Linked DNA regions of Caenorhabditis elegans. The protein of the gene in region 4 interacts with the protein of the main gene of each other region in a pairwise test. Each region holds a gene or a part of one and is shown on either strand. Other genes may lie near its edges.

Region 1 (9,197 bases), on a different chromosome or scaffold from region 4:
CCGGAATTCATAGCTCACGCAAACATGTTTATATAACCAAGAATTTTAGATTGACGATAATGTGGGGCTCACGCAGATTGACGAGCCACCCAGCAACCAGAGCGACGCCACAATTGTCGATATGCAGATTCGAAATGCTACTAAAGATGCGGCAATTCTCGATGACGATGTTCCAGTGAAGCTTTTAGAAAGAGCTGATGAGAATCCAGATGAAATAAAGAAATGGATTTCTGATATTAAAGTTTGTTTTAAAAGTGTCAAGACATCTTTTAAAAAATGTTAATTTCTAGGAATTTCATAAAAGCAAGCCTGCCCAAACAGTTCACTACAGAACTCAACTGCCAGATGTAGAAACATTGATGCAAGAATGGCCACAAAAACTTGAAGAAGTTTTGAAAACGACAAAGGTTTGTCTCAATGCTTTGTTGTAACGTAAAACGTTGAATCCGACAGATACCATCGGCCGAACTGGATGTTTCATTGGAAAAGTATGTGGAAATTTGTCTTAATATCGTCGACATTCCTGTGGGGAAAAGTCGCATTGAAGCTCTCCATTTGATGTTTTCGCTGCTCAATGAATTTAATAACTCACAGCATTTTCGCAATCTCGCACAAAACAACAATCTCGGAGGAGAAACCGGAGAAACAATGGACAGATTGGAACTTTAACATCAAAATTTATTGACATTTCCATAACTTTTTGATAAGCAGACGTTTCTGACATTCTCTTAATCACACATTTTATAACTTTTCCCTCTGCAGACACACTTTCTGAACAACCTATTTGTGTCATATAAATAATTTCTTAAATTATTGGCAAAATGCTTTCTCCTTTTGAACTTCATTAATTGATTCACCTTCTATTTTACTTTAATTTATTTGACCGAATAAACATTTTTATTTCTTTTTTAACAATCAAAAAGTTTTATTTTTCATTGCACATTAATTGGAGAGAATTATCCTTGGTGAGTTTTTACTGTTATCTTTACACCAATTTTTGTCTTACTCATATGAAGAAACATTTTCAAATTAATTTTGTTTTTAACAAGGAAATATCACCACAATTTTTGTGTTTATTCATTGCACGAAAATCTAATTATTCGGTTTGTAGTGAAATTGTAGTTTGGGACTTATACATTTTAACCAGTATTCTCTTATTTTTGAATTTTTGGAAACTTGAAATTGTATTTTGTATTTCGTACCCCACACTAAAAAAAACTATTCAACTTTCCACTACTACTCCTGAATTTCTGGTTTCCAGGGACAGCTCTCACGGTCCCATTTCCAAGACAAAGCATCATGTTGCTTAGCAATTGTGAGTAACAAACAGAACGTGGAACACAAGCCGGTGGTAAGTCTTCTCAGCAGGTACTATAGATGTCATTTGAAGAAGGAAAGGGTGAGCAAGGCGTTCTATTGTCGTAACAAGACCATTCAGACTCTCGTAGCATTTATCGATTCGTCACTGTGTTTATTCATTTCGTCTATCTTTCCTCCTCTTTTCATTGCACAGTGTCCCCACCTGACGGCGGGAAATACGCACTACATAAACTCGTCCCGATTTGAAGTGAACTTTTTTAATTCGCATTTTTGTAGTTTTCTAGGTTATTTTTCTTTTAATTTGAAAAGTAAATTTTACAATAAATTTGACTTGATAAGTCGTTTTTTGCATAGACATTCAAAATCATATGTCCATGTTTCTTAAACTTCTTCACTTTTTTCTCGTACAAATCGCTTAGATGGGCTATTTCTCTCTTATTATATGAGCACAACGTTCTCTCGCTTGCAATGTCAGAAATAGATTGCAGTCTTATCCCTCTACAAACTGTGCATGCACATTCTCTGCGTCTTTTCATTCCTATCAGTGACTAGACTCTTTTTCTTCCAGAAAAAAAACATTAGATGACAACAAACTGTTCAGTTTTTGCAGATAGAGTTCGGCTTTTGGAAGTTAAGTTTTCTGGCATTTATGAAAAAAAGATTGCTCATTAGGACCGTCAAATTTATGTAACGTTAACATAGAAAATATCAACAATGAGAAAAGCAAGCAAAACATGTTTGAAAGCCTTATTGTTTTAAAATAGATAGGTAGCGGAATTTATTTAAGAAAATACTTTTATTGAGTCAAAAGTATTTGTTTCTTTAACCAATAAATTTTATGTTCCCATTTTTTTTGAACTTCAATGTTTCCAAGTTTAGCAGTTTGATATAATATTCAAAACTAACGAAAATTTGATCAAAAATTTGAACAAAACGAACAAAAAAACAAAAAAACAAAAATCTACAAATCCGCTTTTTAACTTGAAACCCCTAAAAATATGTAATTTAAAATACACAAAGTAGCCTACAGTTAAACTCTGTATGTTATCAAATTCTGAAAAACACAACGAAATTCAGTATTCTGTTTTCTCCTTTTCAACAGCCCATTTCTCATTCCATTTGACAGCTCTATTTTCCTCATCCGTCACAGGACTGCGCGATACTAAAAAAAAAGACACATGTTTCTTTTTTTCTTGGTATTGTTACCCAGTAGTCTGAATAGTAACATTTCTTGATTCTTATGTGATGCTTTTGGTGGCAGCACCCATTTTTCTTCTTTACTCCATCCTCTATTTCTAAATTTATGTCACTAATTTTATCCCATTCATTCTCACGCCTTGTTCGCTCTTCATTTTTTCCATGTTTCTTTTCCTTCTCTTCTATTGCTGTAGTCTCTCCTCGCCCTCCTCTTTTTGTCGTTCAGTCGCGTGTCAGCTGAATTCACAAAGAGAAACGCGCCAGCAGTCTTCTTTTAACGCAGTTTTCGTTTTCCGTTCTTTTTATTGTAATATTGCAAGTGTTTCCTGCTGTCGCCGCCCAGCAGTTTTCAGTCCGTTTGTTCCCAGTTGGGTGGCTGAAGCTAACCTTCAATTCAATTTAACAATTGTCTTCGATCTCTAGATCTCTTCTCTGCCGTTGGTTCCATCTCCCAATTGGCTTTAATTTTTCACATATGACCTATGGAAGATACAGGTGAGATTGTTGTGAAATGTTCAATCCATTTTTAGAATATATTTTCAGAGCTGACGTGGCCACCCTGTACGACGTCTTCTGCGAACTTGATGCCCCGAAACCTGGCGAAAAGCTTGCTATTTTAAGACTCCAGTATCCCGACGATTTCCACGATCCAGCTATTGTGAAAAGTGTTCAACAGTTTGCATTTCCATGTCAACTACGAGAGTACGTAATTGTTAAAAAAAAACTAAATTGGTATGGAATTAAAATGTTTTTATAATATTTCAGAGTAGAAGTCGACGCAGTGCAATTATTCAGTTTTGTTCTAACCGATTCGAACTCCAAATTCTCGTTTGGATTTTGCCGTTATACACCAAGAACCGACACGTGCATCTGCTTCTTGAGGTGAGAGTGATTTTCCATCATTACTTTTGACAAATAGCCGTCGTTTGGTTTTGTCATGGGAAAATGAGTCCTGAAGAGCAGAGGAGAAGTATCATATTTCGTTTTCTTTTCTATTCCTTTTAAATAAACTCTTGCAAAAACGTTAACGAAAAAAAGAACAAAACAGAGTTCGTTTTTTCTTGTGACTTTTAACTGTTGTTGTTGTTGTGTGATGCGAAAAAATGAAAAGAATGTTAAACGCGTAGGATAGGATGACGAATATGATTGCAATATTTTAAAAAAGAAAACGATTTGTGATGGTGAACATTATTATCACAAGAACTTAAAAAAAAATACAAAACCGTTTGCTTGGAACTAAAATATGCTTTAAAAAAAGGCGGTAGAAAAGAGTAGAGAAGTAGTCAGAAAAATGTCTCTTTAAAAATATGAATATTTTACAGTGGATTCTTCTGGCCAAATGTCTTCTTCAAAGCTCTTAACGATATTTCTTTGGTGATAGGTTCAGCGCAAAGGGAAGATGTTGAATCAGTGCTCACCAAATTCTATCACACAGATATTCCAAATATTGACGAATATTTACGATTTGCTGATAGTAATCAAACAGATGGAGTAAGAACCTTAGTTTATATCTAAATGTGCAATATTTTCTCAGCACAACTATCGAGTAGTGTTTGCTGAAAAAATTCCCGATCACACGCGATTACCAACTCTTGGCTCGGATAAGTTTTTCCTCGAGTTCTACAACGCCATCGACCCTCGGCAGATGTTAGCAATCTTTGCAAGTCTACTGAAAGAACGTCGTATTCTGTTTACTGGGCGGAAAGTTGGATCGTTGAGTTCATGTCTCCATGCGGTCTCGATGCTTCTCTACCCAATGTGTTGGTGAGTAATATAAAATTTCTAACAAAAATGTTTACATAAATATTGGTAGCAAGAGGCATTGCAATCGCAGTTCTGTGATAGCAGTTCTGAGATAACTAAGAAACTAAAACAAAGTACGTAATACCACGTAATAAGAAATCGTGGTTAAGAAATAAAAATCAAAAGCAATGTAAAAGGGTATACAGTATAAGATAACTTGTTATATTATTTAGTGATGCATATACATAGAATTCAAGTTTCTCTTAAACAATCTTGAAAGTACTTGGTGAAAAATTTGAATTCAACATTAACATCACGAAACATTTGGTCTTGCGACTGTATTTAATCATAGTTTTAGGAACAAAAATTCTGAACTCAATGATGAGGACGCTTATTGAAAAGCTATTAAATTTTCTAAAATGTACTTCAATGTATATTTCAGGCAATCAGTTTTTATCACAATTCTTCCCGAGTCTCTCGTCGACATGGTAATGGCACCAATGCCATACTTGATAGGCGTTCCAAAAACTGTTTTGGAAAATGCGGTTTGTGAATTCGAATAGATGTCCCAATATTGTATTTTATTTAAGAGGCTGAATATAAGAGACATCGGCGAAGTGGTGATTGTTGATATTGACGAGAAGACGTTAACAAGCCCATTCGATGATGTAGCAGCAATGCCTCAAGAAGTTGTAAACTTTTTGAAAGCACAACTTCGGTCGCAGTCAGCAATGGATGACACTTTTGCAAAGCACTTCTTACGAGCTATGGTTATGCTGTTTGGTGACTACACAAGTGGATTTACTGGTGATACGCCTGAAACTCTGGTTTTTTCCAAAGAGCGGTTTGTGGTGCAACAAAAACCATCCTACCAAGCATACGTATCATCACTATTAGGTGCGGATGGTGTGCAGTACCTAGAAAGAGTGAGTTTCCGCACAAGCATATTGATAAGTCGCAATAATTAAATATTTTAGTTCATCCACGACCGATTAGAATTGTACAAAGACGGACACGTGCCAGGAGACCAGTTCGAAATTGAAATCGAACAGATGGATCTGAAAAACCGGCCGGTAAGTGATGAAGCAAATGTTATCATAGCTTGTATAACGCAATGACGTTAACTCGTCGAGTGTGCGGACATATTCCAACATTCAGCTAAATCATCATGAGCCAATGGTGCATACTACGGTGCAATCAGTAAGATTCGTGTTGTCAAACAGTATCTCAGCAACTTGATTTTCAGTTTAACCAAGTGCATGACTTTTGAAAAATTTTCTAACTTGTTCGGCATCTAATTTTTAATGCAATTGAAAAGATTTTCCAGGTCAAGGAGAATGCCAATGACGTCATCGGAGCATTGAAAACTTCTGGAATACAAGTATTTTTCAACCCATTTTAAGTTATTTGAAACATTCAAATTTCTAGATTGCAAATCGTCTCCAGAAACTAACGCCTCGGGAAATACGAAAAGCAGCGGCAAGAAAAAAAGCACACAATCAAAATGGATTTGAGCAGTCGCCAATGTCTTTTGATAACCTACAATGGGATGCAACGGTTTGTTAGAAAATAACAGAATGTATTAATATTTTTGAATAGTTCCAGAAAAGTGACGAAAACGAGGGCTTCCCGGTGGAAACAAGGATGGACAATGTTCCAGTAGCCAACCTCATTGATTTGGATGAACCTTCTACAAGTTCTGCGTCTGGGCTTACATCAGTGGATGAACAGTACTTTCTTCGTCCCTCCGAACTTGCAACTAACAACCGCAAGTGAGTATTTGATCAAATAATCAACCCAGAAAAAGTATAACGCTGTGGCTCTTTGTAGAACTTTTTCGCTCTATTTTTCTGGCAACCAACAATTATCTGTTCGTTGTGCGCCTGCCTGAGTTTAATCCACTTTTAATCTATAAGCTTCTGGCTGTTTCTGTCTAGGTAGAAGTATTTTGGAAACGCTCGGAAATCTCATAATTGCTTATATGTAGAATAAAAAGTAATGTCGCCTTATAAACAAAAATCATACTTTGTTCAAATATAACGAGGATCAAAAAAATTGCAGTGTGTCCAATGAGAAGTCTAATGCATTTGATAACTTCTGATGATTTGGTTTTCTAACACCGTTTCAAAAATAGTTTCATAACTAAAAAGAATTAAAAAAAATTTCATTTCAAGCTGGTGCTTGAAATGCTGGTGCTTGTACATGCTGGTACATTTTGTATAGTAATCTTGATCAAGATATAAAACATGTATGTATTGCCAAAACCTGGTAATTTGAAAACCAAATCTGTTACTATGTTATTCGCAAATCAGTTAATTATTTTACAAATGTTCAGGTCGCCATCTGGAGCAATAGGAAACGTATTTGCCGACCCATTTGCGACGTCACCAGAAGGCTCGGCGCCTCCATTGCCCTCTCGACCCCCACCACCTCTACATCCTCGCATGATTCCTGGCTCATCGGTCCAGTCAATCTCTCCAAGTGGATCATCAGCACCTCACCTACTCCATTTTCAACAAAGCCATCAGTGGGCACAAGTCAGCCAAGTAGGAAGCGTACCATCAGCGATGAACCCATCTGCACCCGATTGGTATGCTCCTCCGCCGCTACCTCCCCGACGACCTGCATCAGTTGGCCCATCGAGCACATCGTCAGGGCAACCAGCAACTGCTTTTGCCACTAGTTCAGCAATACGAGTCCCCCCTCCTCCGGTTCGGAGCAAATGGGAAACTTTCGAGTAGAATACAATCATGTGATAACAAAATGAAAAACAAATTATTTATGTGTATGAAATTTGAGTTTCTATGGCTAGAGTCGTATGGTTACTTTCATAAATTTAACCCATTTCTTTCCCCCTTCCCACTAGTCAAATTATTTTGTTTTTCCATATTCTCATATTTTTTAATCGTTTGTTCCTTGTACTCCTGCGAGACTGAAGTCACAACGATAATTCAGTCATTTTATTCATTTTGTTTAAGTATATATTTTTCAAAAATCCAAAGGAACTTGTCAAATCAAATTGTCATCGAATGCCGGCATTCTAACTTTTTCTTGTCAAAAGTATATATTTATTTATTTTTCTGGTTTGGAATAAACAATAATGTTGGGTGACTTTTCATTCAGTTTATGTTATTATTTCAATTTATTTCAATTTACTCACTTATTTTAGCATCTATCGAAAGTACTTAAAAACTACAATATACTGGACAGCTTCCATTTAATTTTTTTTGTTTTAATTTTTGAATGGAGTAGCGTCAATACGGTAAATATTTGAAATAGATCTTTTGTGACAAAAATAATTCAGTTGAAAGGATAAAATCGTTTTTTTTAGATTTCAAAAAAGTTATCCCAACTGGCGCTATAAAACTTTTGAGACTTTGGAAAATATCCCATAATTTTAAATGGAAAAAATATTATGCTTTGACAATTTTCACAGTATTTACAATATATTGGAAAAGTGAACCAAACGTATCTACGACTACCCTGCATCATAACACTATTTCTCCTGCATATTAACAGATGGCCGTCCTCGTCTCCTCCGCTCTTCCCCTTCCTGGGGCCCCTGCCGTCTGCTGCCTTTTGCGACCGTCTAGCTTCTCTCACTCAATGATTTCTATATTATTTCTCTTTTTCCTACGATCTCTAAATCTCTTTTTCTAATCTCACCGCACGCACAAGCAGAAACGGACCGAACATGCCGTCCGCACAGGCACTTGCCAACGTGAAAGAACACGGCTGAGAAGGTGCGGTTTTTTCCATTGAATATTCAATTTTTCCTGCTATTTGTCAAGACTTTTCTTGATACACAGCACCCAAATAGTTTAGAAATAGGAGTAGTTTGATTTTTTCTCTTAGTTTGACCATCAGAATGCATTTTCTTGTTTTTGGCTTTGGACAGTAGACAATATCAACTTGTTTCACTGCATTTTAATTGATATTTTATTATGGCCCAACATTTTTTTTAAAGATTGAAACATTAATCAATTTCAGATGAGTTTCCAACCTGGTGATATTGTGATCAAAGGTTCGTGGCCATGCAAGTTGGTGAATATGGAGAGAGGAAGGAATCCCGTCTCATGGAGAGTAGAATATTTTACCTGGAAAGCGAAAGGCCGAACGAGTATTGTTCCACAGGGTGTGAGTAATAAATCCAAATAATATCAAAGGTTCTAAACTTTATTTCAGGCGATTTTCGCTTTGCATCGAGACTATCGATTCAAAAAGTCTACGGAGCAACACACCAAAGCTATTAAAGAGGCTAAGGAAACATTAGGAGGCAAACTATGGGTTTGTGTGCATTCTAATAGAATTTAGAAAATGTTCATATGTTTCCAGGGATCTCAATGTGGCAGAGCACCATCGTACAAAAAGCTCGAGTTTAACGGAGTCGAAAACACCCCTGATCAAATACAAAAAATTGTCTCTCGCGACTTAAAATTGGAATTGGACGATAGTGAAGATATTCGAAAAAGTGGAACAAATGGAAATCATCACAGAGGTGAACCGAAAGAGGAACTAGAAAAGGAAGAGCAAGAAAAAGAAGAGAGAATGAAGGAAGATGAAGAAAAGAATGGAGATGGAGAATATGAAGATGACGAGGATCAAAAGATGGCTGATGAGAAGAACCGAAACTATAAGGCTCCCATGGTTAGTGTTTAGTTTAGTTTTATGTCTAATAAAATCATTGAAATTTGGAAACTTCGCCCTGGCTTCATGACTCAATTAGTCATTTTATTATATTTATCAGAACGGGTACTGTCCAACCAAATTTAATCGAAAATGTAAAATGCTTTCAAACGAAACATTTTATAAAAAGTACTATTCTTAAAGATATAATTTATTCACTTGATTATGAGTTTCAAGTTACAAGTTGCATCAATGTAAAATATTCGTTAGGACAATTTCTATCTCTGTTTCCATCTTTTTTTTCAGAATCG
Region 2 (10,056 bases), on a different chromosome or scaffold from region 4:
TCAATCGCTAATATTATTACGTGCCACAAATCCATCGATCACATCATTCTTCCGCAATACCAAGTACATCTGGCACCATGCCAAATGATGTCTGTCCCTTACTCACCCTCAAACATGGGGAAGCACTCTCTGCGTCTCCACTGATCGGAATACTCTTTCATTCATCTCACCTTCCATTCACATTGAAGACATTTGAATACCACATTTTGGCGGCGACCGTGAGGCACTGTGTCCGAACAGGAGTGTGCTAGTGGTAACGAGACCCAAAGTCCCGTCTTTTTACTCATTTAGTGGTACTTCGCATCTCAAGGTCCTTTTGTAAATTAATTTTTATTTTTTACTTGTAGTAAAGTTCCTTTCTTATTTTGCGTGTGACTTTCCTTATTCTAGTACTACGAGCATGTGTCCTTGGGGGCTCATTTTCGTAGAGAAATCGCCTATTTCTTCAGTTTTTGTTTTGTCCGAATGGCTCACAGGAATTTTTTGATTGCCCAATAGAAAGAATGTTCATTTTCATTTTTGACCATTTCCGCTGTTCTCTTACTTACTTACTTACTTACTTGAAGTTGTCTGTGAACTACCAAAAAAAAAAGTGAACCTCAAATTCAGCCTCATGATTACCGATTTGATGTAAACATGTTTTTGAACTAGCGACATTCCAATCTTATCAATGTTATCAGCCAGCTGTAGTAAAGTAGTTCAGAATATTTCTCACTTGAAAAGCTTTTTAAATTTCTGTATCTTCATCAATTTGTGATATAAAGTGTACTATTTTAGTTTTAGAATTTTTAGTATTTTTAGAATTAGTTAGATGTTGATAAATATTTTCCGTTCTTATTAGTCATACTCTTCCCCATTTTTTCTTCCTTTCTCCTCAGGCAGTTGGTTGATTGGGTCATCTGGCATCTTACTCATTTCGTTTTTTTTTCAATAAGCTCCAGTAGAGAGAGAGAGCCTTTGACTTTTTCCATTGCTGTTTGATAGATTTTGTTCTTATTAAAATGCCTAACGATGTACCATAAGTTCTTCGGAACCAACGGTTATTTTAAACCTAGGAAATTGTTGAGACGTTATCCTAGATATCCTAGAGAGAGATATCTAGGTGATCCTAGATAATTTTAAAAAAAAATGTATCCAGAAACCTTAAAAAAAACAAATCTGGCCAGTTGACGCCCGTTAACACTAGCGATTTGGAACGAGAGGACAGATGTTTTGTGTTGAAGAGAGAGAAGTTTCCATCGGTCAGTCAATTGGAAGAATTTCGTTTTGTCTGGCGCAATTCGTTTCGTTTTAAAGTTTGGTTGTATACCATTTGGACTTAACTGAAAGGGTGTCACTTCTATCTGTTTAAATTATTCTTATTCTAGGTGTATCCCACAATTGCCTAATTTTAAATTAGCGTTTCTAAACTCATATGTCACATCTCGCAACTTAAACAGTTTTTCTTTTAGGTGTTTACCAAATATCTAGGTGTTCTCTCTCTGTTAAATGTCTATGTGACTATGCTATTTGCTCTTTAGCTTATCAGTTACCAATGATCATAGAAATCTTTCCTCTTGAAGTTAAATGTTACTTTCTGAAAGTTTATCTAACAAAATTTTCAGTTTTCAAACAATTGTCTTATTTTCAGTGTTAAAAAACCCACCCAATTGCCTTGATATCTTTGTCTCGTATCTCTCTCTCTCTCTCTTCTCAACGGCTTTACTATCCGGTTTTCTGTCCGCCTCATTGGCTCAGTGGCAGAGCGTCTGTCTAGTAAACAGAAGGTCGCTGGTTCGATTCCAGCATGAGGCACCGAATTTTTTTGAAGAAATCTTAGTCTTTAACATCGGATTACTGTAGAATTATCACATATTTTTTGAGAACGTATCCAGAAAACATTTTTAGACATTTTAAGGTGTTCTATCATTCGTGAAATTAAGCGATCATTGCACATGTAGTAATTTTCTTTAAAATTTATATTTGCACTTCAGTATTTTGAACGATCGGCAGTGACTTCATGCATGTGTGAATAGAAAATACACATTGTAGAGCATCCGGCCGGCGAACACGCTATCATTCATATTTCTGTCAACAGTGATATGTCTATGATAATCATATGCTCAAAAAGCACCACCAGCCTGTCCACTTGACATGAGTCTCCATTTTGACCGTCTCTCCTTCTCTACTTTCTCCATGAGTCCTCTTATCTCCTTCACATGTGCCCAATGACCCATTTGGCGGGAAAAATCAGACAAAAAAGAGAAGAGAGCAAGGGATTTGCATACTGTAAAACAGTGTCAAATTTCCTTCAAGAATGAACGAGCTTTATGTTAGCCGCCAAAAAACAAGTAGTTGGATTCCTTTTAAATATATTTTATTTATGAGGACGAAAATCCCAATCAACTCAACGATGTGTAATAAATATCTTAAAATGTAGGATTGCAGTTTATGAATTTCCGCGAAAACGTGAGAGTTTAAATTAAATAGGCTGTTCTCAGATACTAGATTTTAAGCAAATTATATGCTGGCTGAAAACATATTATTTCAAAACTTAATGAAGAATGAGCTAATCTCCATTCCCGAGTTCATTTTCTTGTTTTCCGGAGCACTTCTCAAATTCTCTTCCTCTCCCTTTTTCGCTTTCTCCAAATACCGAAGTGACTGTGTTTATTTTATATTTATTTTGTTCTTTTATCACTAGGTTCTCACACATTTCCTCCATTTCTCACTTTTTCATCCAACGACCCGCATGCCCTGTCGATTTGCCTGCCATTCAATTTGAATAGATTTCATTTTTGTATTTTTCTCCCCAAGAATCAGATGACATTCCACTTCTCTTTTTCCCCTTCTTCTCACTTTTCTAGAGTTCGCTGATTGCCTTCAATTTTTAGTTGGTTTTCTGTATATGGAAAATAACAAAGTCTCTATTTTTCGTAAGAAAATTATTTTCCAATCGGTTATTCATTTCTTCACTATTTTTCTCCCTGGTTTTTGATTTCTCTGCACTTGTCAATACAATTTCAATTCAATTCACGGTTTTACCTTCATTTACGATTAGATTTTATTACCTGTATTGAGGTTATTTTGACCGTTTCGGTAATCCGCTCCACTTTATTAATTCAATTCGTTCCGTTCAAAATCTCGTTCAGTTTGAAACATTTCCAGCTTAAAAATGTCTAGCGATGATTATGAGTCAATTGACACGCCACGTGTAGCTTCACTAGCTGATATGAATCGACTTCCTACCCAATCTCGTCATTCAAGTTATTCAACGGATGACGATGAAGACGTGACTCCTACACCATCAGCTTCTAATTCTGCTCCAAAAAATACAATTCTAGACCCTCTACAAGCGCAGTTTCTTCACCCGAATTCTGAAAATTCTGATATAGACGAGCCTCGTGTGCAATTGCGCGAAAAGAAAAAAGCGACTCGTGCACAAGATGCAACTGTTTCTCATTTCTTGGAAGATCAAGTTCCTAATCAGAAATTCAAAAGGAGAAGCGCTGAAAGACATTCAATGTTGGCTGGAGCTGCTGATTTTGCTAGTCGTAGGAGTCCATTTCATTTAAGTGGAGCGAATGGTTCTGGAAGATGGACTGATTTGTTCTCATCGAGCAGATTTAAACGAAAACAACGACAGAAATTAAATGTTCGTATCTGGGAATTCTTCTACCTAAAAATACAGAAATAACATCTTATTATTAGAGAAAAGTAATAATAATAATTAGAGTTTGCAAAATCCTCAAATTAATATTTTCCCCACAAGTATATTTTCTTATTTTCAGAATGTTCCATCATCGTCATATTCAAACAATGACTACGGTACATATGCAGGCACACAAAGTATTGGAGGTTTCTCGATTGCTTCAAATTCTTCAGGTAATATTTTTTTTCTTAATCTTGAAAATAAAAATTATGTCGCTAGTTAAAGGTAGAGTACGGTCAATATTGAAATTAAAACCCGTTCCTATGGTGCTAAGATGTCAAAATGTCATAGAACTTCTCAAAAATATTTTGAAATTTTTTTATTATTTCACAATGTGATTTGTGAAAAAACGGTGAAAACTGATTGTGAGTTTTTGCCACTTTTCTTTCACTTATTTTTGACTGTAGATTTAAAACATGTTATTATGATATTTAATAATTTTAGCGTCATAGGAAGCGTTTTTCAAATTGTTTTCCCATTGACCGTATTTCACTTTTAAACGAGCATTAAACTGAATTATTTCGAAGATCTCCATTTTCAATATAAAATAGTTCCAGGAGAATCATTTGCCTTGTCAGGAACTGAAGACGAAATACGAGAAGAATTCAGGAAAATTATGGTAATATTCTTTATAGAGTTCTTATTATATTTCTACTAATTTTGCAGCTCGACAAAGGTCTGCCCGAAGCTGATAAAATTATTTCTAATACGCCACTTGATCAAATGAAAATGATGATTGAGAATTCGAGAAAACAAGATAATCAGGCGAAGGGAAGGTCTCCGGAATGGGTTGTACGAGTATTGGGAGAAATATTGAAAACGAAAAACATTCCGGAATGCAAGCAGGATATTGTTACTGTACGGGTTCAGCTAGTTGGTCAAGGTGTTTCATTTCTTAATAAGGTTCGTTTTTTAAGATAGATATTGTTACTATTAAAATACATATTTATTTTCAGTTCGCCGTAGAAGTTCATGACGAGTCTGGTCGCACTGGAGCTGATCTTATCTGCTGTCTCTACTCATTAGTCTTGAAACGACTGAGAAGCAGTGAAGTTGGCTCGAAATATGAGCTTGATTTGATTGATTTCTTGCAAGAAATCGTCAGATGTGTCCGAACGCTAATTAATACACATGTAAGTTTGTATGTTTTCAGTCTAATTCTAATTCTACACTATTTCAGGTTGGCCTTGTTCTTGTATTGCGACGGAACTCTCCTGTATACTCACTTCTCATTCAAACATTATGCGTCCTGAACAGGCGAGAGCAAAACGATCATGAAGCAGCTGAGATTCGAGCTATTCGGGTTGATGTGGTTAGAACATGTTATACGTTGATTTTTGTTCAACATGATACGCTGTCAACTCCGATTGAAATGACTGGGTAAAAATTTTGAACAGTTCAAATCTTATTTAATTGAAATGCATTTCAGTCAACAAAAGATGTTCATGGAGTTGTCCTTAATAGCTAAAGCTGAATCCAAACGGCTCAATGAACCAGTTTCTCGATTTCGGCCCCTCATCAGCTGCATCGATTTTCTAGAATCCCGCGATCCAAAACAAGGAATGTACGTACTTCTGATGATAAATATGATGATCAATGGTGTCGATCGTAACATAAGTGATGATCAAATGTGGACAGAAGAGACGATGTGGCAAGCACGAATGAGATTAAGGAGTGAAGCTGCAAAAGATAAACTTCACAAGTACATTGAGGTAAATTTGATTGTTTCAGAAAAATAATCTTATCCCAGATATTTTCCAGAAATTCACTACATCTGAAACTGTAAACTCGCAAATTCGGGATGTTGCTCAGAACATGCTCACTGAGCACAATGCAGATTTGGAAACACTGATGGGGAAGCTTGAAAATGTAAAAGGAGAATATGATACCTTGGATGGATGTTTTGAACTTCTTGCCGCCAACTCTGAAGCCACCGGAACCGAGACAGTGCTCCTTTCAATTTTACAGCTTATGACTCTTACTAATGAGGATATGTCGACGAAAAGATCGTATATGAAACTCATCGAGACAGCCATATCAGATATTCTTCTGCATCGAACTCCAATCGATCCACAAGCGGATTATAAGTTTGTGTTTGAGGTTCCTGTGGCCGAGATCATTGGTTTGTGATCGAGAGTATATTGAAAAATTAAATAATTTTAATTACAGATAAAATGCAAGACGAAGAGATGGCCAAAAAAGTTCGACAAGCCACGTCGGCCAAACAGGAAGCTGTTGCAATGCAAGGAGAATACTGGAAAACATTATGTGATTTCCAGAAAGAAGCTGAAGAACTGAGAAAACATGTATATTTACTTTTTTAGAAGCGGTTTGATTGAAACATGTTATTTTTCAGATAAATGATCCAAAAATACCTCTTCCTCCGCCAACGAAGATGAACTTGTCGGCTCCATCCACATCTGCTGGTGGATCTTCAGCTCTACCGCCAATAACTGGAGGTCCACCACCACCTCCAGGTCTCCCACCAATCACAGGAGGGCCGCCTCCACCTCCTCCTCCTGGTGGTCTTCCTCCAATCACCGGAGGACCCCCGCCGCCGCCTCCACCGGGAGGATTGCCTCCAATATCTGGAGGTCCTCCACCACCTCCGCCGCCTCCTGGAGGATGTCCACCTCCACCTCCTCCACCACCACCGGGAGGGTTCAAGGGCGGACCGCCACCACCACCTCCTCCAGGCATGTTCGCACCGATGGCTCCCGTGATACCTGATTACCTTCCACCCAAGAAGGTTCCAAAGGTTGATGGTCCCATGAGAAAGTTCCCATGGGGAGCACATACTATCAACCCTCGGGATATTCCAAGAGAGTCGTTCTGGGTTGGAACAAACGAAGAACAGCTGACCAGCGATCGAATGTTCGATCGTTTACGAACCAAATTCGCCACGAAACCTGCTGCAAATAGTGGTACTCTTGGTGGTGTCTTGAATAGCAAAAAGAAAGTGAAGACAGCACAAGTCATTCATGACGATAAATTACTTCAAAAATTGGGTAAACTCGAAGAAGTATATCCTTTTTTATGATCTTTTTCTTGCAGGCATTCTTCAAGGATCAATCAAAATGTCGCATTCAGAGCTCAAGCTGGCGATTTTGGAAGTCAACGAAAAGGTTTTAACTGTCGGATTCTTGGAGCAACTTCGATCAGCAATGCCAGTGGAGAAGGAGCTTATTGACAAGCTGAGAGCGGTGAACAAGGCTCAATTTGAGGAAATGCCCGAGGGTGAACAATTTGTCACTCGTCTGCTCCAAATTCAAGGTCTTCCGCTTCGTCTCGACTTGGTTCTATTCAAAATGCGATTCTCTGAAGTGTTGAATGAACTGAAACCAGCCATGTCGTCAGTGATGGAAGCGTGCGAAGAAGTACGAGCATCTGAAGGATTCCGAACATTTTTGAAACTTGTTTTGGCGACTGGAAACTTTATGGGCGGAGCGACAAAAAACTATTCGAGTGCTTACGCGTTCGACATGAGAATGCTGACAAGACTGGTTGATACAAAAGATGTCGATAATCGGCATACTCTTCTACATCATTTAATTGAAGAAATGAAGAGAATCGATCCAAGACGAGCACGGTGAGTAGATTCCTTTACTTGCTTTCTCAAAATTTAAAAAATTTAAGATTTGCTCTCACCGACTTCCATCATTGCATTGAATCGTCCCGAGTGAATGCGGATGAAATTCGAAAAACTGTTCAACTGACAGAGAATAACATTAAAAAACTGGAGAACTGCTTAAAAGTGTACAAAATTCAAGGAGAACGTGATTTATTCGACGAGAAGATGCGGCCGTTCCACGAAAAAGCTGTCAAAGAGTTCTCCACAGTTTCGTCAATGTGTGGAAAGATGAAAAACGATTGGGAGTCGTTGGTCAAGTATTATGCATTTAACGACAAAAAATATCCGATGGAAGAATTTTTCGCCGATATTCGCACCTTCTCTGAGCAATATTCGAATGCTTGGAAAGAGTTGGATGCCGAAGCAGAAGCAAAACGAAAAGAAGCAGAATTTGAGACACAGAAGCGGAAGCAGCTGCAACAATCTCAACAAGAAAGGAAGCCGTTACAAGAGAGACAGGCGATTAATAGAGTGCCAAGAACTCCGGCTGCGATGATTCGAGTTTCGACTGGTGAGTTGATATTTTTGAAATTGTTTTTTAATATAATTTTTTCAGCTGCCGATAAGGCTGGTGTGCTCGATGAGTTGGAGCGTGCTACAGGAAATGCTGATTTCCTTCAAACCTTGATGTCTGCCACAAATTCTCGAACTCCTCGTTCCGGATTGCCAGCTCGAACTCGCGGAGGTGGAAGACTTGGAGGAGGACTTGATCGGCAAAGATCACGACATCAGAATGCTTTGGGTCAGCTTCAAGATCTCACTGGCTGCGCATCGGAACCGGTTCTTTCCGGACAGTTTGCTCGATCACGCAACGTTCCTCAAAATGATCTGCAACGACAAAATATGGAACTTCCATCATCAGTAAAACCAACAACGGCGCTTGATAGGGCTAAAGCATTTGGAGTTGGATTGCCGATTGGTCAGAATGAGCTCAAAGTTCGAGTGAGAAGGAAAGGGCAACCAGCTGTTCCAGTTACGGTAACATATTTTATATGTGGAAACTTTTCGAAATTTAACTTTCAGAATATCAATGGAACATCGCAAATCTCACCAACGCACAAAGAAAACGATCCGACGGGTTCCTCGTCAACTTCATCTGGTCCTGCATCATCAAACACGGCTACATCATCATCATCAGGCACAGTGGTGCCATCAACAGACGATCTTCTCGCACGTCTTAATGATTTCTGAAAGCTCACATCGGTTGTCTTATCTATAGATCTAGTCATTCTCCGTCTCTATTTTTTCTGTATTATTGCCACATTTTTCATACTTTAATTGTCATTCACAGGGTCCCTCTTCTCGTTCCATTTCAATTGCTCGTTGTATTTTCATCAGTTCACTTTTCCTTTCTATTTTCTTTAGGTAAATATTTTGAGTTTAAAAACGATTTTATTTTTATTGACATGGAACACAGGCATACTTTACCCGAGACATTCAAAAGTGAAATAGAAGAAATGCATTAGATGAGCTGAATTCGTAGTGTAAGTGCACGAGACAATGCTTCGTCGGATACCAGTATTTCTTCGCCATCGCTAACAAGATCTTTCATCGAAGTATGCAGATTTTCTTTGCTTTCTTGTTCAAATTGTGGCATGAAACTGCTAATACAGTAAAGTTTTCGAGTTGAGGTCGCTAGTGTCGGATGTTTGAGATGGCTGAAATTTGAAATTTGTTTTCTAAAACAAACGGAGAACGTACAAACGCTCCGAGAGTCTGATGATAAGCGATTCAAGAGTTGAAGATGGTGAAACTTCGAATGGAAGACGCCCACCACTACAAGTGAGACAATTGTCATCTTTCATCATTGAAACAACACTGGTATATGCTCCGTGAATTTGAGTGAAATTAAGATAATTATCGATTGGTTTGGCAATGCTGAAATTGAATATTGAGAGTTTTAATATGTGATCTTACATACTTTGTGGCCAATTTCAGAGCTTCTAGGGCACATGATGCAGCGATAACTGCATTTGTTGATGCAACAGCCGGAATAATTCTTTTTAGAACTCCAGATGTCAAACGACGATCCACACCTCGAATATTGTATTTTTCTGCACGAAGACTTGCTCTTTCGAGAACCCATTCAACGTGGATCGGATCGTCAGCGTCAAGAGAAACACCTGGAAATATAACTTTTTTCCAGAAAAAACTTTAAAAATAACACTAAAATTAAAGTTCGTTTCACCGATTTTTCTGTAAATTTTTACCTTCAAATGGTTTTTCCTCTGGCCAAACAACTACTTTAATGTATTCAATACAATGTTCTGGAAGTCGAGGAGTGTGAGCAATTGTGCACAATGGAAAATTGACTTGAGGTGGATAAAGATCAAGAGTACAATCAATACAGGCTGTGAATTTCGGATATATGACACGAGCATTTCCTTTAAATCCTTCAGTTCCTCCGTCAATCATTGGAATAATTGTGTTCTCATCAGGTTTTCCGTCGGCCATTTCCAAAACCAAATCACACTGCAATTCGATAAATTAATTTATATTTTGAGCTAGAAAGAATTTTACCAGCATTCCGTTGATCCATCTTCTGGCTGGAATCGAATCAAGTCCACAGATAATTATAGAGAATTTTCGATAAAATTCTTGACCCTTGTCTTCAATTCTACAGTTGTGCCTGAAAATTGAAATAAAATTAAAATAATTCTGAATTTGTTTGGAAAGACTATCAAACCACAACACTTACGCAGTCACCTGACATCCAACAACTCTTTGTTGAACG
Region 3 (6,079 bases), on a different chromosome or scaffold from region 4:
AAGAAGTACGAACAAATTTTGATATCAATAGTAATTAAATTTTTCAGTAAACGTTCCTCTCGTGCAGTCCCGAAGTGAAGATCAGCGCCTTGTAACCAGTGCTCGTCAAACTGACAAAATTGATGCCGATGATTTGGTCGCGCTGGCAAATCAGTTAAACAGTGCCCGCCAATTGGTGAAAGGAAGAGCTTGCGATCGTCTGAAGCAAATTGCCGATCAAATGGAACAATTACATATGGCAGCTCGTGCAGTTCTCGAAGATGCTCAACGCGATGAGCATTTGCATAACGTTCCCTGTAACATGGAGAAGCAACCTGGCCGAATTTACCATTTGTACCAGAAGCAAGGAAGCATGAACAAATATTTCTCTATGTTGGCTCCTAACGAGTGGGGATACCAAGAGAAGAAAGAAGAATATCTTGGATCATATCGGTTGGAATATGACAGAAGCTGGACTCCTGTAGGAGAAATGGATCGTAAAGACGAAGAAGTCGCTCGTCTTCAGCAACTTCTTCAACGGGAAGGACCGGTCGCCTTACGTGGGAATCCTAATTTTTAAGAAGCATATGTAACATTCGTAAAAACGCATAGATTTTCAATTCAATTCCAATAACCGGGTTGTTTCTTGTGTGCCTGATACTTTCATGAATATTGTGATAATTCGAAATTATTTGTTATCTTATAGGTTACCACCCTACTCTTAATTTTTTATCTGGAAAAATCACACTACTCATTCTGTGAAATAATTTTGTAGATGAGTTTAACAACAATTATTTTTGACAATGGTGGCCATAATATGAAGATAGGTACGATAGACTCAGAGTCCCCTAGGTTTGTTTCTAATAAGAAAAATATCAATATAATTTAAATATTTTCAGATTAGTTCCAAACAGTATTGTGAAAGCGAAACATGAAAAGAAGCGGGTTTTTGTTGCACACGAGCAAGAAGAATGTTCGGACAAGTTTTCGCTATTCTATGTGCGACCAATTGAAAGAGGATATGTGGTGAATTGGGATACACAACAGCAAATCTGGGAGAAAACGTTCGGATCTATGGATGTGGAGGCGTCTACTTCTCGAATTGCACTCACAGATAATAACTATCTAATCCCAGCTCTTCCTGATGTCTCTAGTGAAATATTGTTTGATTATTTCGGCTTCACAGAGGTACACAAAACGTCTGCTTCGACTTTGGTGGCAAAACATTCAAATAAAATCAACAACGAAAAGTGTGCAGTTGTTGTGGATTCCGGGTTTTCATGGACTACGGTAGCTTCATTTGTGAATGGAATGCTTATTCAGGATAGTGTTATAAGGTTGGAAAGTGTTTTCAAACTACAATTAGCTTTATTTTTAAGGATCGATGTTGGTGGAAAAGCGTTAACAAATAAATTGAAGGACTGGGTATCTTACCGACAATTGAATGTTAGCGAAGAAACATACGTTATCAACGAATGTAAAGAGGATCTTTGCTTCGTCTCACAAAATTTTGATGAGAGCATGAAAGAGGCTAGGTAGGTATAAAAATGAAGAATACTAATTATATTGTTTTTATTCAGGAATCGATTTCAAGAAAATACAACAATGAAACGATATATTATGCCGGATTTCCACTCGACATTCCGAGGTGTAGTGAAAGACGTTAAAGAGCCACACGATCCACAAATTCCTTCAATTCATTTGGGAGTTGAGAGATTCGCCATTCCGGAAATCTTATTCAAGTTAGTAATTTCGGCAAAAAGTATAAACTATTTTATCTGTTGCAGTCCCTCGGATATTGATATTGATCAATGTGGTGTCGCAGAAGCTGTTATCGAGAGTATTTGTCAATGTCCAGAAGCATTACGGCCTGCTCTGGCAGAAAATATCATCGTGATTGGCGGATCGTCGTGCTTCCCAGGATTTCGTGAACGCCTGGAACGAGAAGTTCGATCAATGCTGCCAGCAGAATATGGATTGAATGTTTCAAATGACGTAATAAACCCACAAACTCATTCCTGGCATTGTGGTCAAGAGCTTCTCACTGCTTCTAAAGTTCCATGGATCAACCGAAAAGATTGGGACGAACGAGGAGACTCGTTGGAGTTCTCTAACTTTTTCCAGACTCTTGTGCAATCCGATGAACTGAAGGGAACTCGTAATTTCGATGATCAGAGGGAGAAATCCCCAAAGGAAGATGAAGATTTCTGAACTGATCTCTTATCACTTTAAAATAAACATGTTTTATATATATATATGCCAAAATATTTTTTTTTGAGATCAGAGGTTTATTTTCCTTTGTTGGACTTATTTTTTTTCATGTGCTGTTCATTTTTTAAAAATCAATATTTCAGATGTCAGCAGGGCCGATAGTGGAAAGAAACCAAGATGCAACAATTTACGTTGGTGGATTAGACGAGAAGGTGTCAGAGTCCATCCTATGGGAACTTATGGTACAAGCAGGACCTGTTGTCAGTGTCAATATGCCGAAAGATCGAGTAACTGCCAATCATCAAGGTTTCGGATTTGTGGAGTTCATGGGAGAAGAAGATGCAGATTATGCAATCAAAATTTTAAACATGATCAAATTATACGGAAAGCCAATTAAAGTAAGCTATCAAATATGTTTAGTTTATTATTTAAAAAAATAATATTCAGGTGAACAAAGCATCGGCTCATGAAAAGAATATGGATGTTGGTGCAAATATTTTTGTTGGAAATCTGGATCCAGAAGTCGATGAGAAATTGCTATACGATACGTTCAGTGCTTTTGGAGTTATTCTTCAAGTTCCAAAAATCATGAGAGATGTTGATTCGGGAACGTCTAAAGGATTCGCGTTCATCAACTTCGCTTCATTCGAAGCTTCAGATACAGCATTAGAAGCTATGAACGGCCAATTTCTTTGCAATCGAGCTATCACCGTCTCATACGCTTTCAAGAGAGATTCAAAAGGAGAAAGACACGGAACAGCAGCGGAGCGTATGCTGGCTGCACAAAATCCACTGTTTCCAAAAGACCGGCCACATCAAGTATTTTCTGACGTTCCACTTGGTGTTCCAGCTAACACACCTTTGGCCATGCCAGGAGTTCATGCTGCTATTGCTGCTCATGCAACAGGACGCCCAGGCTATCAACCACCACCATTGATGGGAATGGCTCAATCTGGATATCAAGGACAATATCCACCAGTACCACCACCTCCACCAAGTGTGACACCAATGCCACCTCCAATGCCGCCAACGCCAGGAATGACTCCTCGTCCACCACCACCACCATCATCTGGAATGTGGCCGCCACCACCACCGCCTCCACCAGGAAGAACTCCAGGACCACCAGGTATGCCTGGTATGCCTCCACCACCACCACCATCACGATTTGGTCCTCCAGGAATGGGTGGAATGCCGCCGCCACCTCCACCAGGGATGAGGTATATATTTTTGTTCTAAGTTGAAAATATCGTTCATGTTCACCGTTCGAACTTACACAATTTTTCTTTTCAGATATCCGGGAGGCATGCCGCCACCACCACCGCCGCGATATCCTTCTGCTGGACCAGGAATGTATCCACCTCCACCACCAAGTCGTCCTCCAGCACCACCATCTGGTCATGGAATGATCCCACCTCCACCACCTCCATCATAATTACTCGATCGGATTGGAATACCTTAATCTTTATTTTCAGAAACTTTTGTTTTTCACGAAAAGATCTTCATTTCAGCTGTTCTAAACTTTTACATTTTAAATTATTTCGTTTTATTCTCATTCCATAAACCAATTTCTATTTGATGTCAATTCAACTTCAATCATATTCCACAACCATCATCTCCTCCTCTCTCTTATCAATCTCATCACAATCACACCTTTCTTTTCCAATTACCACTTCGATACGTCAAGTCACGTTCTTCAGCGGTTTTTTGTTGCATTTTAATGTTCTCACACAATCTGTACGCCTTTTTCCACTATTTAAGACATCATTGATGTTCGCTGGAGCGGCAAATCCTATGAACTATAGGCAAGTTCAACGCCTAATAGAGACGTAGAGTGTAAGTGAGGTTTCCGGGAGAATTCGTCTCGCACCTTCCTCTCATTGATTCTATCAACGAACGGAACGAGTTAAACTAAAAAAAAAAGTGTAGAGAAATAGAGAAAGAAGGGGAGAGAAAGAACATGGACAATGACTGTATTCAACCGGAGGACACACCAAAACTAATTAGTCACCCGAAAACATCACCTACAATCATCACATTGCTTCTTCGCACTTTTTCCAGAAATATTATTCCAGTATCATTTTGATTTTCTCCAATTCAGTGTTTTTGTGTTGTAGAATTTTCAGTTTATTATTTTTGGAGTTCCGAGAGTATCTTCAGTTCAAATTTTGCACATTTATCTCCTTATTTAAATGAAATTGCTACTACATTCCTAGAATTTATGAACAAATGGAATAATTTTTATTAGGAATTTCTCGAATTATGATTCATTCTTCCATTTTCCATTCATAACAATCGTTCGTTTTTCTTGCATTTGAAATTTCATTCGTCAGTAAAAATTCTACAAAACAACATTGTTTCAAATAACCTGTTATTTATATAATTTTTAGGATGAGTTTATGAGCTCTAGAGGAAGAAACCAACTTTGCCCGTTTCCAATTATATAATTACAGTACTCAACTTTTCCAATTGTTCGTCATATACATATTTCCACACCAGAACTCATTTATATATATTTTGCAACGCATCAATGTTTAGCTTTCAAAAATTTTATGATCTAGAGAAGTTAAAAAATCACAAAATGTCGTAGTTAAAAATTGAGGACGTTTTATATACTGTTACAAAGTGTTACAAAGTAGCAATAATTCAGTTTTCATGTACTTCTTATAATTTTGGAAGTTCACTAAAAAAAAGTTACACGAGTTTTATGTTCAATCTATATCTTAACTATTCTTATTTGAACACTGTAGGCTCAAAATTTCAATTTTTCTGACAGTCTGGCATTTTGCCAAATCTCTGACTAAATATTTTGGAAAATCCACAATGCCGTGTTTTATTCAGATATATTGTCTTATTGACCTGCTGTGACTATATTTTGACAAAACTCTTGAGTTTCTAATTATACTAATGATTAGTGGTAACCCTACATATGTTATCTGAAAACCCCACTGATTCTGTAAAACGAATGTCCTTTTGATAGGTATTTCTTTTTGTTTCTGATACAATATTATATTATACTAGGGAGAGAGACTTAGACTGCCAAAAAATATTCCTTATCATTATAAACCTTTGTGCCTTGATTGCCTTCGAGCAAAAAAAACCGCCGACACTTAATGATTGACACTTATTCGCCTAATCTGTTCAATTCGTTTCACTTTCTTGCAACTTTTCATTGCCTTCCTGCTGCTTACTTTAAAACTTACAGATCAAAATGGGTAACATGCGGAGGCTGTTGATCTTTGCTGTTCTAGTAATATGTAAGGATAAATAATTACATTTTTAATAAAGAAAAATTACAAAAAGATCAAGGAAATTTGAACTGTTCATTACGATTACAGTAGATTAGAAACTTTCTCGGATGTTTCATGTTTCTTTTGTTGTGTATTTTGGATTTTGAACCATTTTATTTTATCTTAATTTTATGTTTAACTAGTCAGATATTCCATTAATTATATTCAAAAAAAAAACAGAGTGGCATAATTAATTAAATTCATGTTAACGATTAAAATGTTTATATTTACAGTAACCGTCATATCCAATTCAAAATCGAGTTACAAATATGATGGTTCATTGTTCTCAAGTAAAGAATTGGATTATGATGAGACAGACACTAAAGCAATGGGATCCGTTTTTTCAAGATATATGTCAGATTCCGATGCTCAGCTAATTCTTGATCTCGACTTTTTCCGTCATTTTTTCAATTACGCAGAAGCTTATAGAGATGGAGCTGAAGAGGGAAATCTTGAATTAATGAAGTATGCTGTTGAAATGGTTGAAAAATTAAAATCATTTGATATATCAATGGGTTAGTTTATAATGACTATATCTTTAACAAAAAACATTTAGCTTGCGTTGGAGACATGATGCACTTGGCATGGACTGGAGTAGAATA
Region 4 (6,989 bases):
AGTTTGTAGTTTGACCTACAGGAGGGTCCATTCGACTGCCATTGTAGTCTAGTCCGCAAATTTGCGTCACTGTGCTGGTGGAGAGCGGGAAACGGGAGAGGTGAGAGGGAGAACACCCTTTTTTCTCCCGCGTAGAAGACCTTTTTGAAACACAGCCCAGTGTCGAGTCCGTAAACACCGGCACGCTCAAGTGAACGTTTTTTATCAAGGCCGCGTTTTTCGAATAACATTTCTCAATAGTTTGTGGTTTTATTAAATGGGTTTCACGTTTTACTATAATAAATAATTTTACTTTCAAAATAAAATTGATGACCATAAATAGTAATTTCTGGTTTTTTTTCAATCTTCGACTTCCGATTCTTTGTAAGTTACGGTTTAAATCTGTTCATGTAAGCTTATATCTTTTGTAGATCTATAAATGATTTGTTTTAAATCTATAAGATTTAAAATACACAGTTATATTTTACGTGTTTGACAGCAATATTAGCTTTAAAATGAACCTAATTAGATCTAGAAACCGATACTTGTGCTTTCCATGCAGAATTTGAAGAACGAAGTGTTTCTAGTTTCTTCTCGTAATGAAATTTACATGGGATTTTTCACTACCCCTGTAAAATTGATTCTTATTTTATCACTCAACTTGTTTTTGAAATTTTGTTTCCCACCTCTTGTAAATTTGAAATTCTATGTATCTAACGGGCAATGTCCTTGGGAATGTGTGCACGTGGTATCTTAGACAACATAGGTGTTCTTTTTATAATCTAGACAGTGTTCCTTCTAGAGTAATTCATACTTCACTAGTTGTTCTGTTTATAATATACTGATATACCAAGTGATGGTGACACAGTTTTTAGAGATAATCGACGCTTATTCATCAGTTAAATTTCTGAAATATGTAAATCTGCGCTGCGCAACATAAACCCTTTTCGATGAAACAAACCCTACAGTGTCTACTTTAATTTATGCGATTTTTCTTCCGGTCCTTCATTCCTTCAGTTTCCGACATTTGTAGCACATCTGGCGACGATTCATACCGACCCTGTAGCACTTTTTTGTTCAATGTGTTCGGCACAAGGTTATGCGCACTTCGCCTCTTTCTCCTATTCGCTAATACTAAACGAAACTTATCGCATTTACATTCTCACACTTCCACTTTTCAAAAAAGTAAAGAATACTACTTGTAAGGTGGTAGTGGACGACTGTCGGTGTCGGTTTTGTCGAGATTTCGTCTTTCATTCGACTGATCGGACAACTAGATACACTGAATTAGGTGGTGAAAGAAACTTTTCTTTTGAAAAAGGAGAGACCTACGTTTTTCTTGTCCGTTTCATTTCACTGCCTTCTGCCAAAATATGTGTGTTTTCTCACTGTTTTATCATCCTTTCAAAGTCTTGATTTTTTGGCTCGCAGTTTTTATGGTTGTCGTGGAATTGTTTGGTTCTCTGTTCCTCTTTGCCACAAAAAGTTTGTTGACTGTAGGTTAAAATTCAGTACTCTTTTAAAGATTTTTTTTACTGTAAACTACACGATTGTGAAAGAAACTTAGTCGTATTTTGTCAGCTTCAGATTTCGGCAAATGTTTGAGTCGGGAGTACAGCTCTGTTTATCTACATTTCCATTCTCTTTTCAAAAGTTGTTTCCCAAAACACCTGTCGACCTGTTACCCGTCCATAAATCATGCCAATATCATTGTCAATATGACGGCGTTTATGGTCAAGTATACCTCAACGAAATGCGTCAACTCTGACGCATCCGTGTTGACAGACGAACTCAACTCATCATAAGTACACAAATGGAAACGTATACACGCGTTGAATGAATAGATTGAATTCCTAGAAATGGGTGTGTTTTTTCCTTGAAGAATTGATCCATATGCGTTGTCGAAAAGTTGTTCTAAAATAATTTTCTGAATAACTAGAAGTTTTACAGTAATTAAAGTTTTTCGTTTGTTCAGAGATACTTAGTATTCTTAAGTTGCCTGTGCATATTCCTGTCATGCCTGTTTAAAGTAACTCCAGTGGGATTAACTATCAGAAACTCTCCCTAAAATAATATACGAATATCATAATAAGACTTTTATTTGAAAAAGTTTTTTGTAGGCAAACACCAAAATAACTAAATGTCCTCCACTCATAATTTTTGAAGTAGTCCGAAACATTTTAATATTCTCATATTTGGATTATGTTTTAAGCATTTTATAGGTCCAAAAATGAGGCATTGTTTTAAACATTTCCAAAAACCGACATTTTCGAAAATTGGCAATTTGCCAAAACTTTGAACAAGAACATGTATGATGTCTTTTTCTAGAAGTCAACAAATATTGTCAACAATAAACAAGAAATCATAAAAAACTATAATAATAAGTGGGCTGCTCATGGATAAGAACAAAAAGCGGTGTTCTTCCTGGCTCTTGAAACAGACATGTTTGAACTCAAGTGCCCCACTGTGGCGGTCAGCTATTTTTGTGTTTGTCAATTTCCGCCACCGGAATCCTCGATTTCTCGCCCATTTCGGCCACCACTCAATTGTTGCCGCCGCTGAACATTCCTTCCGTTCTTTTCCCGTCAGGCGAATACACATATTCGATACTTTTTATCCATCGCGCCGATCGATGGATGTCTTCTAATCGTCTCCGACACTTTCTCCGTTACTTCTTTCTCTCTCTCATCATATTCGGATAGTATTGTATAGAGAGACTCGGCAAAGGATAAACGAACGCCGGACGTCGTTGCAATTGAACACAGAAGAGATAAAGATTATATAAGAAGTTACCTTCTGAAGACTGAGGAGGAACCACCACGGCTACTGTCCGAGTGTCGCCGTGTTTCCTTGACCCTTTTTCTCCATATCTGACAAGAATCGAACACGGATTGTCAAGACTGTTCATAACGGAGGAAATACTACCACTTACTATTTTTCGACTTTGCTATATACATAATATATTCTTGCTAATATTGTGAAGCTTTATCATGTCGTATGTGTCGTTCGCGGCAAGCTACTCGCCTGGAGAAGGCAAAACAGTTCGAAATCTCAATGGTATGTGCTCTTTCATTTTAAATTCTTTGTAATAAGTTTTTCAAAAAAATTCTGAAATTATTAATTTGATTTTGGGCACATCAAAGTAGGTGCAAATTAGTTTCTGCAAACAAATTTTCTAAATTTTTATATTTGTGTTAAGTAGTCTTCTAAATTTTGGCGCTTGAATATATAATAGATCGAAGTAAAAAATTGTATGAATATTGCTAATTTTGGTGTTGTTGTGTTATATGCATTCTTGCACATTCTCACAGTCTGCTGCATTCCTTTCTCTCTTTATTTCTTCGTTCTCTCTATATGGAAGTGGCGAGAGGGTAAATATGCAACACTGCATACCATCAGTAGAGCGTCCATAGAGCCGTGAAGGAAAAGGGCACAGTGATAGGTGGTAGTGTTGAAGTGTCAATACAATTTAGTACTTTTTCTCTTTCCACATATTTTTGTCGCTATTCTAAAGTGAATCATTGTCCTCTGTGTCATTTCGATTTGCAATTTACCAAGTATGAGATATTTATGTATCTGTCTTATTGGGATCTCTATGCTGTGACAGATTGCTTCACTAAAATAAACAAAGTTCCAATAGCATTCCCTCCGTTGTCTAATCCATTTTCTGTTCTCACTTTTTGCCCCCTGGGTTCGTCTTTACTAATGAGTTCAGCAACCATCCCGCGGAGCACATTTCAGTGACTCATTCTTCTTTTTCGCAGTGATAAGACGCTGTTATCAGATGTAATAAACACGGGGAACGCCCCCACCTCCACAATATACCTTACTTTTAAAATTTTGAAAATTTTCGTGACGTTTCGAACTTTCTCTGCTTTTTTACTTGAAATTTAATCTGTCAATGTTTTTTGCTGGACATTTATAGCGATTGCTAAACACGTCTCTTTTTTGTTTAATTGCAGAATAGTTCCAACATTTTCTCAGAAAAAATTTCATTCGAAAAGCTTTCCAATTATTCCATTTTCTTTTTTGTAAGCCTTTTCTGATTCCAGTTAAATATTACTAACTTTGTTTGTGTCGCGTCGTCGTACGACATCCGACGTACAAATTCTTAATAAGTCATATTTCACGTGAACATTATTACGTGAACTTTGCCCACACACACAGAAAATAGTCGCACACATAGGAATGCCACGTGTACCACGTGTGCCACTCTTTCACTGTTTATGTTCGGCGAAACATTTCTTTATTTCAAAAATCTTTCACTTTTCTTGAAAGTATTTTGTTGCTGGATACAATTTCCCGTTTTAATTGTAAGTTAGGTTCAAACTTTTTCTCTGAAAAACGATGTGATTCCAAATATTAATAATCTTTGTCTTTTTTGTGCCACGTGGGCGTCTCTGTTGCATATCATTTTGATCATTATTCTCTTCAGAAATGTATATATAACTTGTCTTTCTTTTTTCTCTATCTATTAGTCACTTAACTACTCAAGAAACTTTCAAATTTATCAACTAAAATGTATATTTTTCAGACAAGGTAGAAGGGTATCGCAAGGAGATTGCCCCAAGTCGCGAAAACGTTGACTTCGATCACTTGCGAAGAACACCTAGAGATCCTTTACCGGAGAACGACTATCAGGCGACGAGCAGTACTGGATTATCGAGTGGGGAAGTAAAACCCTACCAGTACCGCGACTATCACCAACATCAGAAGCACGAGTATTACGGCGAAGGAGTGAACGACGGTGTATCTGAAGACAACGTTGAAGACAAAATGAGAAAATACGAAATGCAGGCAAGTTTATATTTATGAACTAGACAGGCTTTTTAAAGTAGCATCAACCTGTAGATCGAAAATGAATGTTTAAACCTATTATGATTGGATTTTAAGATAATCCGATTACGCGTTTGAAACATAAATCCCAATTTTGCCAATAGTCAAGCCAACACATCTAATATTTTTGTCAGATTGTAGTAGTTGTTTATATTTGCTCTAAAAGTCATGCCGAAAAAGTTAATTTATTCAATATCTATGAAATCAACAGCTTCATCTCCAACCCCAAGTGTTAGAACATTACCTGAAGAACAGGTAGTTGCTGTTTTTTTGTTTTATAAATTGTTCATGACTCATGAACATTTGGAGATCATTCATTTTCTTAAAGTAGTCAGCTGACGTGCTCTCATACACTCTATGTTATTTCTGTTTATCATTAAGGTCGGCAAGCGTCTCTCCCGGTTAGGAAGGCTATGCTGTCAAAACGGAAAGACGCTGAGCTAGTAAATATTTGTTTTTCCTTATATGTAACAATTTTGGTTCCGTAATATTATTCTGGAAAGTTTTAAAGATCCGAAAAAAAACTGAGAACGTTTAGAAATATTTAACAGTTCAATTAGCATCAAGTTCATAATGATTTTTTCAGGTTCGTGTTCCAACAAGTGGTGCACCACCAGTTCGCGCAGATGCCAATGGAACAGATCAAGACGAGTTCAATAATGAGACACTGTACTTTGAAAGATCACGCATTCGGACACTGCAGGACGAACGTGTGCACATTCAGAAGAAGACGTTCACAAAATGGTGCAACTCCTTTCTTAATCGGGTAAGTTGTGATAACAACTGATTGGAGTATTTGATTCTATAACGGCGGTCATCGTTAACACGAGAGTGAATAAGAGAGACGGGTAGAATTAGAGGGAATAGGTGAGGGAGAAAGGTTCAATTAGTCGGAAGAATTGTTTACGGAAAGAGAAGAGGATAATGCAACGGGAAAGTAATGCGGACCAAGATGACCTTGCAAATTCCCTTATCTTTATCTGGAGATCAGTTTGCATGCAAGAACGAAAGGAATGTTCGGATGAAAACCAATGAAATCAACTGAATTCATTCGTTGCATATGGGGTAGAACCAGTGCGGAATTTGTCAAAATACACTTGATATAGTCTAAAAGAATATATTAACGTAATTAGAAATTATAAATGTTTTTTTAGAGTTGTAATTTTCAATCTTAGCAAAATGGCAACATTTTGCAAAGTTTGGGGTTGAAAAAATATAATTTGAAGATTGGTATTTGAAATCTTATCATAGTTAATCACAAGGGTAATTATAAATATTTGAAAAAATAAGAATATAAATTTTAACTTCCAAAACTGTGACTTGGTATTAATATAAGTTTAGGAATTAAAACCATATAAGCACAACAATTTTTCAGGCAAGTTTGGAGATTGTTGACCTTTTCGAAGATGTCGGCGATGGTATTATGCTCATGAAACTTCTTGAAATCATTTCCGGAGACAAACTCGGAAAACCGAATCGTGGCCGAATGCGTGTGCAGAAAGTGGAAAATTTGAACAAAGTTCTTGACTTCTTGAAGAAAAAGAAAATCCAATTGGAAAATATTGGAGCCGAAGACATTCTTGACAGAAACGAGCGACTTATTTTGGGTCTCATCTGGACGATTATCCTCCGATTCCAGATTGACACTATTGTCATTGAAGTGAGTTTAGAGAAGCCATTGTTTGTTTTAGTTTAAATTTTTCAGGATGAGGAGGAGCGTGGAGAGCGAAAACATGCCAAAGATGCCTTGCTGTTGTGGTGTCAGAGAAAAACAGCTGGATATCCAAATGTTCGCATCGAAAACTTCACTACAAGTTGGCGCAATGGATTGGCTTTCAATGCACTTATCCATTCGCACCGTCCGGATCTTGTCGATTTCAATCGTCTCAATCCAAACGAGCATGTGGATAATCTGAATCATGCGTTTGATGTGGCTGAAAAGAAGCTTGAGATTGCACGTCTTCTTGATGCTGAAGATGTTGACGTTACCAGGCCTGACGAGAAGTCAATCATTACATATGTTTCCTTGTACTATCATCATTTTGCAAAGCAAAAGACTGAGATGACAGGAGCTCGACGTATTGCTAATGTAAGTGTTTATAAGTTCATGAAAAAAATTAACAAATTGTTTTCAGATTGTCGGAAAACTTATGGTTTCGGAAACCATGGAAGAT

What was found.
Region 1: the proteins of sma-1 (region 4) and rme-4 interact in a two-hybrid assay, tested with the Caenorhabditis elegans proteins (one large-scale study listed by BioGRID).
Region 2: the proteins of sma-1 (region 4) and cyk-1 interact in a two-hybrid assay, tested with the Caenorhabditis elegans proteins (one large-scale study listed by BioGRID).
Region 3: the proteins of sma-1 (region 4) and sap-49 interact in a two-hybrid assay, tested with the Caenorhabditis elegans proteins (one large-scale study listed by BioGRID).

What each region holds. Positions count from the first base shown.
Region 1 is NC_003284.9:10,371,406-10,380,602, reverse strand, and holds rme-4 (UDENN domain-containing protein), read left to right. Parts: upstream 1-2,833; 5' UTR 2,834-2,992; coding exon 2,993-3,012; intron 3,013-3,060; coding exon 3,061-3,219; intron 3,220-3,282; coding exon 3,283-3,399; intron 3,400-3,839; coding exon 3,840-4,008; intron 4,009-4,051; coding exon 4,052-4,281; intron 4,282-4,702; coding exon 4,703-4,805; intron 4,806-4,850; coding exon 4,851-5,186; intron 5,187-5,237; coding exon 5,238-5,333; intron 5,334-5,587; coding exon 5,588-5,641; intron 5,642-5,688; coding exon 5,689-5,817; intron 5,818-5,859; coding exon 5,860-6,032; intron 6,033-6,595; coding exon 6,596-7,001; 3' UTR 7,002-7,371; downstream 7,372-9,197. Other genes in the region: dyf-6 (Intraflagellar transport protein 46 homolog), read left to right, coding at 50-241, 291-407, 454-669; Y49A10A.2 (uncharacterized protein), read left to right, coding at 8,251-8,397, 8,446-8,547, 8,596-8,907, 9,193-9,197.
Region 2 is NC_003281.10:7,022,295-7,032,350, reverse strand, and holds cyk-1 (WAPL domain-containing protein), read left to right. Parts: upstream 1-3,145; 5' UTR 3,146-3,154; coding exon 3,155-3,634; intron 3,635-3,770; coding exon 3,771-3,864; intron 3,865-4,248; coding exon 4,249-4,310; intron 4,311-4,357; coding exon 4,358-4,594; intron 4,595-4,647; coding exon 4,648-4,824; intron 4,825-4,871; coding exon 4,872-5,071; intron 5,072-5,120; coding exon 5,121-5,403; intron 5,404-5,452; coding exon 5,453-5,813; intron 5,814-5,860; coding exon 5,861-5,997; intron 5,998-6,047; coding exon 6,048-6,699; intron 6,700-6,745; coding exon 6,746-7,280; intron 7,281-7,327; coding exon 7,328-7,833; intron 7,834-7,878; coding exon 7,879-8,300; intron 8,301-8,345; coding exon 8,346-8,513; 3' UTR 8,514-8,709; downstream 8,710-10,056. Other genes in the region: rfl-1 (NEDD8-activating enzyme E1 catalytic subunit), read right to left, coding at 8,785-8,980, 9,024-9,200, 9,244-9,445, 9,533-9,794, 9,843-9,951, 10,021-10,056.
Region 3 is NC_003280.10:8,032,022-8,038,100, reverse strand, and holds sap-49 (Splicing factor 3B subunit 4), read left to right. Parts: upstream 1-2,333; coding exon 2,334-2,588; intron 2,589-2,637; coding exon 2,638-3,407; intron 3,408-3,480; coding exon 3,481-3,622; 3' UTR 3,623-3,851; downstream 3,852-6,079. Other genes in the region: C08B11.9 (uncharacterized protein), read left to right, coding at 1-5, 48-559; arp-6 (Actin-like protein C08B11.6), read left to right, coding at 755-831, 879-1,316, 1,359-1,514, 1,560-1,721, 1,767-2,190; nrf-6 (Nose resistant to fluoxetine protein 6), read left to right, coding at 5,399-5,444, 5,711-5,992, 6,034-6,079. UniProt on the Caenorhabditis elegans protein: Subunit of the splicing factor SF3B required for 'A' complex assembly formed by the stable binding of U2 snRNP to the branchpoint sequence (BPS) in pre-mRNA.
Region 4 is NC_003283.11:11,896,595-11,903,583, forward strand, and holds the start of sma-1 (Spectrin beta chain), read left to right. Parts: upstream 1-2,854; 5' UTR 2,855-2,969; coding exon 2,970-3,036; intron 3,037-3,313; exon of another isoform or gene 3,314-3,485; intron 3,486-4,513; coding exon 4,514-4,776; intron 4,777-5,401; coding exon 5,402-5,581; intron 5,582-6,190; coding exon 6,191-6,475; intron 6,476-6,520; coding exon 6,521-6,904; intron 6,905-6,950; coding exon 6,951-6,989.